Linked DNA regions of Saccharomyces cerevisiae S288C. The gene in region 1 interacts genetically with each later gene. Each region holds a gene or a part of one and is shown in the gene's direction. Other genes may lie near its edges.

Region 1 (4,893 bases):
TCCAATTGCCAAACAGGTTCGAATTGGAATTTAAATCTAAAGATCAAGATAGCGAGAGTTACGAAAGACCGGTCATGATCCATCGTGCCATTTTAGGGTCTGTTGAAAGAATGACTGCCATTTTGACCGAGCATTTTGCTGGTAAATGGCCATTTTGGTTATCACCACGTCAAGTTTTGGTTGTGCCAGTTGGTGTCAAGTACCAAGGGTATGCTGAAGACGTCCGTAACAAATTGCACGATGCTGGCTTCTATGCCGATGTCGATTTGACCGGTAACACTCTGCAAAAGAAGGTCAGAAACGGGCAAATGCTAAAATATAACTTCATTTTTATTGTTGGTGAACAAGAAATGAATGAAAAATCTGTTAACATTAGAAACAGAGACGTTATGGAACAACAGGGTAAAAATGCTACTGTTTCTGTTGAAGAAGTTTTGAAACAGTTGCGTAACTTGAAAGATGAAAAGAGAGGTGACAACGTCTTAGCTTAATGAGATTTTATGTAGTTAAATTTTGACTTATTTAATTTATGTTTTGTAAAGAATAAAATGAGTATGATGAAGGAATCTTACCTCTATTAACTATTTCTTCTTTTTTTTTCCTTCGATAAGATGTGCGCGAATTCAATATGGAAGAAAGCAATTTGGTATGCAGATGGTGTTCACCGGCAGTGTTTAAGTTACGAATATATAAAAACAAATTCAGGAACCCGCCGAATTTGGCCCAAACATATACCTATATACAAATTAGTGACCATACGCTATTATTACTCCGTCGTCTAGGAGCGGTTCCCACCATATCTCCCGCTCTGCAGTAAACGCTGATATTTGTCATCAGAAGAGGAATTATCGGTAGCATTACCATCGTCAGAAAATCCTGAGATAAATATATCGGATTCATGATCCACTGAAGCATCTGATTCCTGCGACTGATCTCTACTGGTGTTCCTTATATTTTCCCATGATGAAGACGAACTGTTGTCGCCGTTCCTGATTTTTTCCCAGGAAGACAGAACAGGACTGTCGTTTTGCTCTCCTTCAATTGGGTCAGGAGATTTTCTACCCTTATTACGATACAATCCTATAGGATCCCTTTGGTTCATAAAGGGCGAGCCGTTAAAAACTCCGCCTTTTTTCATTTGCTGCAGTTTGACTTTCGGGTCTGGCAATCTTCTCTCCGGATTTTGGTACGTTATGTAAAAGTACATCGACCACCTTGAGGGGGAGCCTGAATCTAATAAGCGCATCATATTGTACTGCCTTTGATTTCTCGGAATTTCTTTTGTTTGATCATGTTGAAAGGCTCCAAAGTCGTTGTCACCATATTTGTTGGAATAGTTATCCTTCAAAACACCTGTGGGGTCACGTTCGTTCAACTGTCGTGTATACATGGACCTACCAGCAAAATTTGTAGCAAAAAATAAAGCCATTACACCCAAGACAAAATTCCTCGGCACCTTAACACCTTTAATAGCCTTGGTCTTGTAGTAACGATAGGCAAATGGAGTTAAAAATACAGCTGAAAACCCAAGCCAACCACCCCACATCTCAGCTTTAGCAATGGATCTATAGGCCTTCGATAACTCCAGCCTGTCTCTTGCATCCAGCAATTCGTCTTTTTCATGAAATTCAATAGCATTTTCATAAGCCTTTTTAAACCAAGGCCTCTTCATAAAGGGTAGTTCATTTTCCATTCCCTTACCATTCTGGCCATATTGCTGTTCTTCTTCTTTTCCCAACATCACCTTGTTCTACGCTTGAAATTAGGCTGCTCCTTAAAACGAAAATCATATTAAGCATTGACACATAAAAAGTTCTGTTCTGCGTCAAAGTAGCATTAGCTCATAAGGCTTTCACCCTTGCTTGACTTACACCCGCGGAAATAAAAACACAGAAAAAGAAGGAAATAATGTATAAACAAGTAACTATGAACGAAATTTCCTGTTACGGATTGTTACGCTAGCTATTAAAATTCGTCTCGTCAAAGATCGACTGTAGCAGCGTGCTGCTGATGTCAAAGAATTGGGAGCCACAAGCTGGTGAAATGGTATCTGTCTTAGTACTCACAACATTCTAGGCTGCAAAAGAGGTTATACCGGAACAATAGTTGCTAAAATGGAATTCAGGAGATGGCTCCAACGCAACGATCAGGACGCCCGCTGATCTCACTCTTTAGTGTCCACACTATATAGTAACATTACATTCAATTGGAACCGTAATGTTGTATAAAATCTTTTGTCTTGCTGTATAGGTGCGTATGCAGCGTCTTCAATGGGATAAAGATATTCTATTTTTAATTTTTAAGGTGATCTTAATTTTTTGTTGGTTCTTTTTCAGTTTTTTGTCAAGCGAAAAACTACAGTTTCTACAGAAAAACACGTCAAGCTACAGTATAAGAACGGATTGTGAAGAACTCGGTGGAGAACATAGAAACAGACAAAAAATCATGGATTACTTTAATATCAAGCAGAATTACTACACGGGGAACTTCGTGCAATGTTTGCAGGAAATAGAGAAGTTTAGCAAGGTCACAGATAACACCTTATTATTCTACAAGGCGAAAACCCTTTTAGCTCTAGGCCAATATCAATCACAAGATCCTACCTCTAAGCTTGGCAAGGTACTAGACTTGTACGTCCAGTTCTTAGATACAAAAAACATTGAAGAATTAGAAAATTTGTTAAAGGATAAACAGAATTCACCATATGAATTATATCTGTTAGCCACGGCTCAAGCTATCTTGGGTGACTTAGATAAAAGTTTGGAGACATGTGTAGAAGGGATTGACAATGACGAAGCAGAAGGGACTACAGAATTATTGCTGCTTGCCATCGAAGTCGCTTTGTTAAACAACAACGTTTCGACCGCGTCCACCATCTTTGATAACTACACTAATGCTATTGAGGATACTGTTTCCGGTGACAACGAAATGATTTTAAACCTGGCTGAATCGTACATTAAATTTGCCACAAACAAAGAAACGGCAACATCCAACTTTTACTACTATGAAGAGCTATCTCAAACCTTTCCTACTTGGAAAACTCAATTGGGATTGCTCAATTTGCATTTACAGCAAAGAAACATAGCTGAAGCTCAGGGTATTGTCGAGCTATTACTATCTGACTACTATAGCGTCGAACAAAAAGAAAACGCCGTATTGTACAAACCTACTTTCTTAGCAAACCAAATTACGCTTGCTCTTATGCAAGGTCTTGATACTGAAGATTTAACAAATCAATTGGTTAAATTGGATCACGAACATGCATTCATCAAGCATCACCAAGAAATTGACGCAAAATTCGATGAATTAGTGAGGAAATATGATACGTCCAACTGATTTACGTAATATCTCACATTAAACATGTAGGTTTTTTAGAAAAAGAAAAAAATATTTCATGTATATGCCTATATACTATTTTGATAAAGCCGAATAAGATGGTACCATAAATGAGGTTGACATGGCTTGAACAAAATCATATAAAGTATAATTAACAAAGCGGAAACAACATTTGTCACGTTAGAATTATGCGTAAAGTAGCTAATCCTGGCAGAATAATTCAATGATTTTTTTTTAAAAGTATGTACACTATTATTTATTTTCTGGCATTTTGAACTAATTCTTCATTTTCTGTACGACCATGCACCCTTGATCTAAGCACTAGGGAAGTCGACATTATCATCGACCTTAAATGGGGTTGGAAGTGGAGCGTTAACATCTTTCATTTGCCTAACAGTTTCAATTAGTGCTACAGGTTCCTTGGGTTCCCTATCTCTTAAAACCACCACACCGTTATTTCCTTTGAATTTACGTACAGGAACAAATCTGTCGTCCTTAATAAAGGAAATATATCTCGATTGTTGTGGTAGTATACGGGTCATATTGTCGACTTTATAAGGTTTAGAAGAGTACTTATTTTTGTAAAATTCTTCGTCGTTTTCTTTTGTTTCTTTTATGCCTTTTTTATTCGTCTCTCTTTCCTTTTCTTTTTCCTCATGCTCTTTTTTCTTTTCTTCCTCATTTGGACCCTTTTCCTTCTTTGTCTTCTTTGCCCTTGCTTTTGCTCTTGCTGTCGTGGAAAGAACAGCTGTTGCTACCTTCTCTACCTCCTTACCACTTGCTTCCTCATACATCCTCGGATAACTGAATGCATCTTCTTTAGCGTAACAATTCATTTGAAATTTGGGTATAGCTTGATCGCTACCACGAATACCAATGACAGTTGTTGGTGTAAAAGAAAGGGATAAAAAGTGAGCCAGTGGGAACCAGTACCAGAATTGTGAGAACATGACCAAACCAACTACGGACTTGGTATCCAATGTGCCTGTATCCGCATTTTCCAGCTGAATTGTAACATTACGCCCACCGGCATTCATTATACCTTGGGCCACACATGCACCGAATTTGGCTAAACCTTCTTGGTGTTTGTTTGTAATCACGCTCAAAAAATTTTTGTTAATATCAGCAACTTGAGGGTTTAGTTTTTCTGTTTGTTGAATCAAAATCATGGATAAAGCTATCATGGCAGCCTGACGAACAAAATCTACTGGGTCCTTTGTTAGCGGATCTAAAACGTCAATAGCTGATTGTAAACCCTTGCCGGCACAAGCAATCCCAAGAGCAAATGCGGTACCACATCTGACATGAGCGTTATGCGATTTAGATAGAAGTTGGACAATCCTTGGTACAGTGGTATAATCACGCAAGAGAACAAACCCTAATGCGATGACTGCTGCCCTTCTGACATCATCGTTAGAATCCGAGACTGCCACATGCAGTAATCTCTTGACAGCTGAATTATTTCCCGTACCCGCATACGCTAACGCGATTGTGAATGCACCTCCATAGCGTAACAAGGACTCATCACTTGCTAACATCTTAGTAATTAAATCATCA
Region 2 (4,835 bases), on another chromosome or scaffold:
GTCTTCACAAATGTCATAGGAAATGCCAATGTGCCGATCAGTAAAGCCATTGCAAAGTTTATCATTAGCAAAGATGTTGAAACCAAACTGAAATATAAAAAAGCAACATTTTTCAACCTGTATGATAGTGGTTCTGAGATGTGAATTTTTCTGGAAAGTATCAAAGGTAAAAAACAAGATGCCATGCTAATTGTCATCAATAATCCCGATGAAGGTATTAGAAGAAACGCTTGTGAAACAACAAATGATATCACCAATGACACGAACCAAACCAACAACGCTACCAAATTATACTCGGAAAATAAGGATATATTTGCATAAGCATTGTTTATAAATGCATTTAATGAACTTATGGCGAATGCTATAGATAAAGCCACAGCGCTTGGCAAATAACTACTAATGGATACGAACTGACGTGGTGCTAATAACAAATAAAAGAAGAACGATTGGTGAAATTTTTCCAAAAGGTTATTAATAGAGCGAAACATTGCTTCGGGTATACGTCCAAATGTAGTAATATCATGACCACTGTTTCCATGTGCTTTCAATGTTACAGATTGAATCCTCCAGCCGCTAAATGCCTCGTTACCATGGGGCTTTTTAACACCGGACAACGCCCAATCCCTTATTCCCAGGCATAATATTTTTAATCTTGACCAGAAATTATTATTAGTTAACTGATCACTGGGTAGACCGTGCAAAGAAACTTTCATACCTTCATGTTCCGTAATGGATATAGCGATGTTGACAAGATCCAAATTGGGCAGCTCACCATTCAGACCGTCGTATGAGATTTCTACATACTCGAAGAAATCTTCCGTACTCGAATAATCCAACACAACAGCAGCTTCAATGGAACCACCAGTCAAATCTAAGGAAGTATGGTATGCCTCAACCCATGATCTTAATGCTGCACGAGGATTTTCGCTGAAGACAACAATTATATTCTTGGACCATACTGGCCAACGTGAGAAAAATCTTGCTAAAGATACACCCAAAGCTGCGCCGCCAATATTGAATTCATCATCTGAATTAAACCATGGAACGGCAAGCACCATCGCTTCTGTTCCATCACCCCTAGGAGCGTGCATTACACCGTACAATGTTTCTCCATATTGTTCATTTTCGTAAATAGCAGTCTTAGTACCAAATTCTTGTAACCAAGAACCCATCAAATTGTTTCTTTCCATAGAAGTCATGTTTACCATTTCTTTAATTTGAGATCGATAGCCCCTCAAAATGTTCCATTCAGATTCTCTAAAGTAACTATACGCTTGTGAAGGCATCAATGCATTCTCAGAAATGTATGTTCTTCTGTACTGTCCATCCATAGGCAGAATAGCTATAGAAATAAACCCAAATAGAGCGCATAGCATGGAAATAACTGGTAATAAGGCGATTATACGCGGGACAAGCCCCATATCAACAATCCTTCGATGCAACTTCTCCAATAAGGCCATTCTTGGTGTATTATACGCGTCTTTGGTCTGTCAAGTCCTTTTATAAGACAGCAAATGTCATTTCTTTCTAAGTGTAGCCGGCGTGTATTGTTTATGACTTTTTTTTCTACCGCTGGCATTAAAGTGAGAGGTTCACGATGCGTTCCCAATAACTTCGTAGGGATGGCGATCAATATACAAATAGAGGGAAGCCAAACTCCCCACTATAAAGCTGTTGGCACGGTTTTATAAGCTTCAACCTTTCTAGGCTACAGGATACTCAAAAAAAATTACTGCGGTATTATCAACATAGTGCTCTTTGGAAAAAAAAAAAGAATAGTACTCATTAAAGCCACCTGACTCAAGTCTTCTATTGACGGTAATAAGTTAGCAAGCATGGAAGCTATTTCACAATTACGTGGTGTTCCATTGACACACCAAAAGGACTTTAGCTGGGTCTTTTTAGTAGATTGGATTCTCACGGTAGTAGTATGTTTGACAATGATATTCTACATGGGAAGAATCTATGCATACCTTGTAAGTTTTATATTAGAATGGCTACTATGGAAACGAGCGAAAATCAAGATAAATGTTGAGACACTTCGTGTCTCCTTACTAGGTGGTCGAATACATTTTAAAAACCTTTCCGTAATACACAAAGATTATACAATTTCGGTATTAGAGGGTAGTTTAACATGGAAATACTGGCTTTTAAATTGCAGAAAAGCAGAATTGATAGAGAATAACAAGTCTTCTTCTGGCAAAAAAGCAAAGCTTCCCTGTAAAATTTCCGTAGAATGTGAAGGTCTAGAAATTTTTATTTACAACAGAACAGTGGCGTACGATAATGTTATAAACTTACTATCAAAAGATGAACGCGATAAATTTGAAAAATACCTTAATGAGCATTCTTTTCCTGAACCTTTTAGCGATGGAAGTAGTGCTGATAAATTAGATGAAGATCTAAGCGAATCTGCATACACAACGAACTCTGATGCATCAATTGTTAATGACAGGGACTACCAAGAAACAGATATCGGCAAACATCCAAAGCTACTGATGTTTTTACCAATTGAGCTTAAATTTAGCCGCGGTTCCCTACTGTTAGGAAACAAATTCACGCCATCTGTTATGATTCTAAGTTATGAAAGTGGAAAAGGCATAATAGATGTTTTACCTCCAAAAGAGCGATTAGATTTATACAGAAATAAAACACAGATGGAATTCAAAAACTTCGAAATTTCTATCAAACAAAATATTGGTTACGATGATGCTATTGGATTGAAGTTTAAAATAGATAGAGGGAAAGTGTCAAAGTTATGGAAAACGTTTGTACGAGTCTTTCAGATAGTAACCAAGCCTGTTGTACCGAAAAAGACTAAAAAAAGCGCAGGCACATCAGATGACAATTTCTATCATAAATGGAAAGGTTTATCTCTTTATAAGGCTTCTGCGGGCGACGCTAAAGCAAGTGATTTAGATGATGTTGAGTTCGATTTGACGAACCATGAATATGCTAAATTTACATCAATTTTAAAATGCCCAAAGGTCACAATTGCATATGACGTGGATGTTCCGGGCGTTGTGCCACATGGTGCACATCCGACAATACCTGATATTGATGGACCAGATGTGGGCAATAACGGAGCACCTCCAGATTTTGCTTTAGATGTTCAAATTCACGGAGGATCCATCTGTTACGGACCTTGGGCTCAAAGACAAGTCAGTCATCTACAAAGAGTTCTATCACCGGTAGTTTCAAGGACAGCCAAACCTATAAAAAAACTCCCGCCAGGTTCTAGAAGAATATATACACTTTTCAGGATGAATATATCAATAATGGAAGATACTACTTGGCGTATACCGACGAGGGAAAGTAGCAAAGACCCCGAATTTTTGAAACACTACAAAGAAACTAATGAAGAATATAGGCCATTTGGATGGATGGATCTCCGATTTTGTAAGGACACCTATGCAAATTTCAATATAAGTGTTTGTCCTACAGTGCAAGGTTTTCAGAATAATTTCCATGTTCATTTCCTGGAAACCGAAATTAGGTCAAGTGTTAATCACGATATTTTGTTAAAAAGCAAGGTATTCGATATTGATGGGGATATTGGATATCCATTGGGTTGGAATAGCAAAGCTATATGGATAATTAACATGAAGTCAGAACAATTAGAGGCGTTTCTGCTACGTGAGCATATAACTTTAGTTGCAGATACGCTTTCAGACTTTTCCGCTGGTGATCCTACGCCTTACGAACTTTTTAGACCATTCGTATACAAAGTCAATTGGGAAATGGAAGGATATTCCATTTACTTAAACGTCAATGATCACAATATTGTTAACAATCCGTTAGATTTTAACGAAAACTGTTATTTATCCCTTCATGGTGATAAGCTTTCAATTGATGTCACGGTACCCCGTGAGAGTATTTTGGGGACATACACAGATATGTCCTACGAGATCTCAACTCCAATGTTCAGAATGATGTTAAATACCCCCCCTTGGAATACATTGAACGAATTCATGAAACATAAAGAAGTGGGGAGAGCATACGACTTTACAATTAAAGGTTCTTACCTTCTCTATTCCGAGTTAGATATTGATAATGTCGATACGCTAGTCATAGAGTGTAACAGCAAGAGTACAGTACTTCACTGCTATGGGTTTGTCATGAGGTATTTAACAAACGTAAAGATGAATTACTTCGGTGAATTTTTTAATTTTGTGACGTCAGAAGAGTACACAGGTGTCCTTGGCGCTAGGGAAGTCGGAGATGTCACTACGAAAAGCTCGGTGGCAGATTTGGCATCTACTGTAGATTCAGGGTACCAAAATAGCAGTCTAAAGAACGAATCTGAGGATAAAGGTCCTATGAAAAGGTCAGATTTGAAAAGGACTACCAACGAAACTGATATTTGGTTCACATTTTCGGTTTGGGATGGTGCTCTGATATTACCAGAAACGATTTACAGTTTTGATCCATGCATTGCACTACATTTTGCCGAACTTGTAGTGGATTTCAGAAGTTGTAATTATTATATGGACATAATGGCGGTTCTCAACGGGACTTCAATAAAGCGGCACGTTTCAAAACAAATAAATGAAGTATTTGATTTTATACGTCGTAATAACGGAGCTGATGAGCAAGAGCACGGATTGCTTTCGGACCTCACCATTCATGGACATAGAATGTATGGATTACCACCCACAGAACCTACCTACTTTTGTCAATGGGATATCAATCTCGGAGATTTATGCATTGATTCAGATATTGAATTTATAAAGGGATTCTTTAATTCCTTTTATAAGATAGGTTTTGGCTACAATGACTTGGAAAATATATTATTATATGACACTGAGACCATTAATGATATGACCTCGCTAACC
Region 3 (2,572 bases), on another chromosome or scaffold:
GTAGGGTGCATTTTCATTCCTGTTGCCTCAATGTGTTTTCTATCTGTATTTACGTGATTTTATGAAGTGGTGGCATCGCTTAGATGTGGTGCATAATTAGAGACTAATTTTTGAAACCACGCATGAATGTCAAGTAATTCTAACTGAGCATCTGTCATCAATGGCACTTGCAACTTCAAAAAATCCCACCAATATTTTGACGGCACCAATTTACCTTTGAATTTTATTTGAGTTTTCCTTGTTAATCTTGCATTCAGAATTCCATAGAAAAAGAATTTTTCAAATGGAATTATATTTGTAGAGTGAGAAAAACATCCATCACAAGTGCAGTTATCCGGAGGACATATGCATTCCTTGTCAGTGCATTTACAATCATCCAAATAATCCATCATCTTATCAGTAATTTGAGCTTCACCAATATTGGTTAAAGGAACACCACTTTGTTGAATATAAGAATTCAGTTCCTCTTCGCTTCTATGGATTAGACAATTAACACATGGGCAGCTTTCATCTTCACAAGAGCACTGCGTGCTTAAAAAAATGCCCTTATGAGTCAGGACTTCAACTTTCGAAGCAACGTCGCTTGAATGAGGAGCAGCAATCGTTGTTGTACTTTGTGGGGTGAGTGTTTCTGAACTGTCATGCGCACCAGGAACAGAACTATTGTAGTTTTCTTGTAAAATATCGTTAAAAGCGGACGTAGATTCCAAGGAGCCGTATGGCGTAAATATGTCATCAGACGGTGCCTTGTTCGTCTTGCCATTAGAAGCTGGGTTCTGTGATTTATCTTTCTTACAGCAGTTTGAAAAATGTCGTATAGGCTCCTGTTGAAGCCGGCTTCGCTCTTTCTTCTCACTTGAAGAAGATGACTTGGTAGAGTCCGGAGATATTGTTCCTGTTGCCGGAGCTTTGGGAGAGTGTTTCCTAAGAAACTCCGTTTCGGTGATATATTTGTTACCATCATCGGTAAATGTGCTAATATCTTTAGGCTCATGAGCAGTGAAACCTTCCTCCATTAATATATGCAATTTTCCGTTTATCATTCTTGCCTTTCTAACAGCAGAGGCACGTACAAACAGTATTGGCTGTTGATTCATTGCGCTGCAGCAGTCACCTTCAATTTGTGCACCATTTTCGTATTCTGTACTTTGCGATGTAGAGTCTACTAAAATAGCGTCTCTGATAGCCATGGGTGAAGGTCTTCCTCTAGTTCTCACCTTAATTAGCATTCGGTGAGAATGCCTGCATGTTGAAGAGCGATGCCCTCTGATGCACGATGCACACGCATATTTGTTCCCATTAAATATTATCATCTCTGATAGAGCTTGAAGAACTTACCAGACTGTTTCAAGTTTAAAACAAGGCGCCTCATCGCATCTACCTCACGAAGATGCAGCAGCTTATTGTCTCGAGATCCTTCTTATAACTCCTTTTCGCCATTACCCGAAAACGAGATTACAGCCTCTAAACCAAGAGCTCGAAAAGCGCCAAAGTAAACTCTGGCGTTTAGCGTACGAAGGAGATTATCCTAAAAGGAACTTCCCTAGTAATAGTGTAATTTGGAAGGGCATAGCATGTCGAAAACCGCTCAGAAACGTCTCCTCAAGGAGCTTCAACAGTTAATTAAAGATTCTCCACCTGGTATAGTGGCTGGTCCCAAATCGGAGAATAACATATTCATTTGGGACTGCCTAATTCAAGGGCCTCCAGATACGCCATACGCTGATGGTGTTTTTAATGCTAAGCTAGAGTTTCCTAAAGACTATCCGTTATCTCCACCTAAACTTACTTTCACACCCAGCATACTACATCCAAATATTTATCCAAATGGGGAAGTGTGCATATCCATTCTACACTCCCCTGGTGATGATCCTAACATGTACGAATTAGCGGAAGAAAGATGGTCGCCAGTGCAAAGTGTAGAAAAAATTCTATTAAGTGTTATGAGCATGTTGAGTGAGCCCAATATCGAAAGTGGTGCCAACATTGATGCTTGCATCTTGTGGAGAGATAATAGACCTGAATTTGAGAGACAGGTAAAGTTATCCATTTTGAAATCATTAGGATTCTGAAAGCAGGTAGCAGGTTAATGATCATTTGGTCTTCCTTTTAACTGTTCTCTATATACATAAATAAGCATATCTACCATCTAAAAGAAAGCAAATGTCACATAATAAATATGTTAAAATCTCAATGTCTTCCTGGCTTTTCAGGAATTCAAACCATTTCCATTTCGTTGGTGTATAATCAGGGGCCCCTCTACTCTCACCTCTCTGTACCGAAGCGTTAATCAATTTTCTTTTATTTATATACACGATGATTGTAACTAGGTTATTTTCCTATACAAAATTTGCTGAACACTGAATCTAAGATTTCCTCAATACCAATAGCTTGTCCTGTTATCTTAGCTATTCCATCGGATGCATACCTCAAATTTTCTGTGGCCAATACTATATCATTATGGAAATCTTTGGATTTGAAAAACTCTTCCAAGCCGTACAGTACGTCGTTTTTGAGAATCTCTGACACTCTTTTGGAAACAATGACAGGACTTGCATCGGCACTTGATTGA

The links. A genetic interaction does not mean that the proteins touch.
Region 2: mutations in SEC28 (region 1) and CSF1 together harm fitness more than expected from each alone (negative genetic interaction), as found in Saccharomyces cerevisiae (3 studies listed by BioGRID).
Region 3: mutations in SEC28 (region 1) and UBC7 together harm fitness less than expected from each alone (positive genetic interaction), as found in Saccharomyces cerevisiae (4 studies listed by BioGRID).

What each region holds. Positions count from the first base shown.
Region 1 is NC_001141.2:214,213-219,105, forward strand, and holds SEC28 (coatomer subunit epsilon), read left to right. Parts: upstream 1-2,445; coding exon 2,446-3,336; downstream 3,337-4,893. Other genes in the region: threonine--tRNA ligase THS1, read left to right, coding at 1-491; RCI37 (Rci37p), read right to left, coding at 779-1,741; proteasome regulatory particle base subunit RPN2, read right to left, coding at 3,651-4,893. UniProt on the Saccharomyces cerevisiae protein: The coatomer is a cytosolic protein complex that binds to dilysine motifs and reversibly associates with Golgi non-clathrin-coated vesicles, which further mediate biosynthetic protein transport from the ER, via the Golgi up to the trans Golgi network.
Region 2 is NC_001144.5:312,732-317,566, reverse strand, and holds the start of CSF1 (Csf1p), read left to right. Parts: upstream 1-1,835; coding exon 1,836-4,835. Other genes in the region: GPI-anchor transamidase subunit GAA1, read right to left, coding at 1-1,460. UniProt on the Saccharomyces cerevisiae protein: Tube-forming lipid transport protein which provides phosphatidylethanolamine for glycosylphosphatidylinositol (GPI) anchor synthesis in the endoplasmic reticulum. Required for the glucose and other nutrients uptake at low temperature.
Region 3 is NC_001145.3:317,106-319,677, forward strand, and holds UBC7 (E2 ubiquitin-conjugating protein UBC7), read left to right. Parts: upstream 1-1,574; coding exon 1,575-2,072; downstream 2,073-2,572. Other genes in the region: MAC1 (Mac1p), read right to left, coding at 60-1,313; MSS1 (Mss1p), read right to left, coding at 2,332-2,572.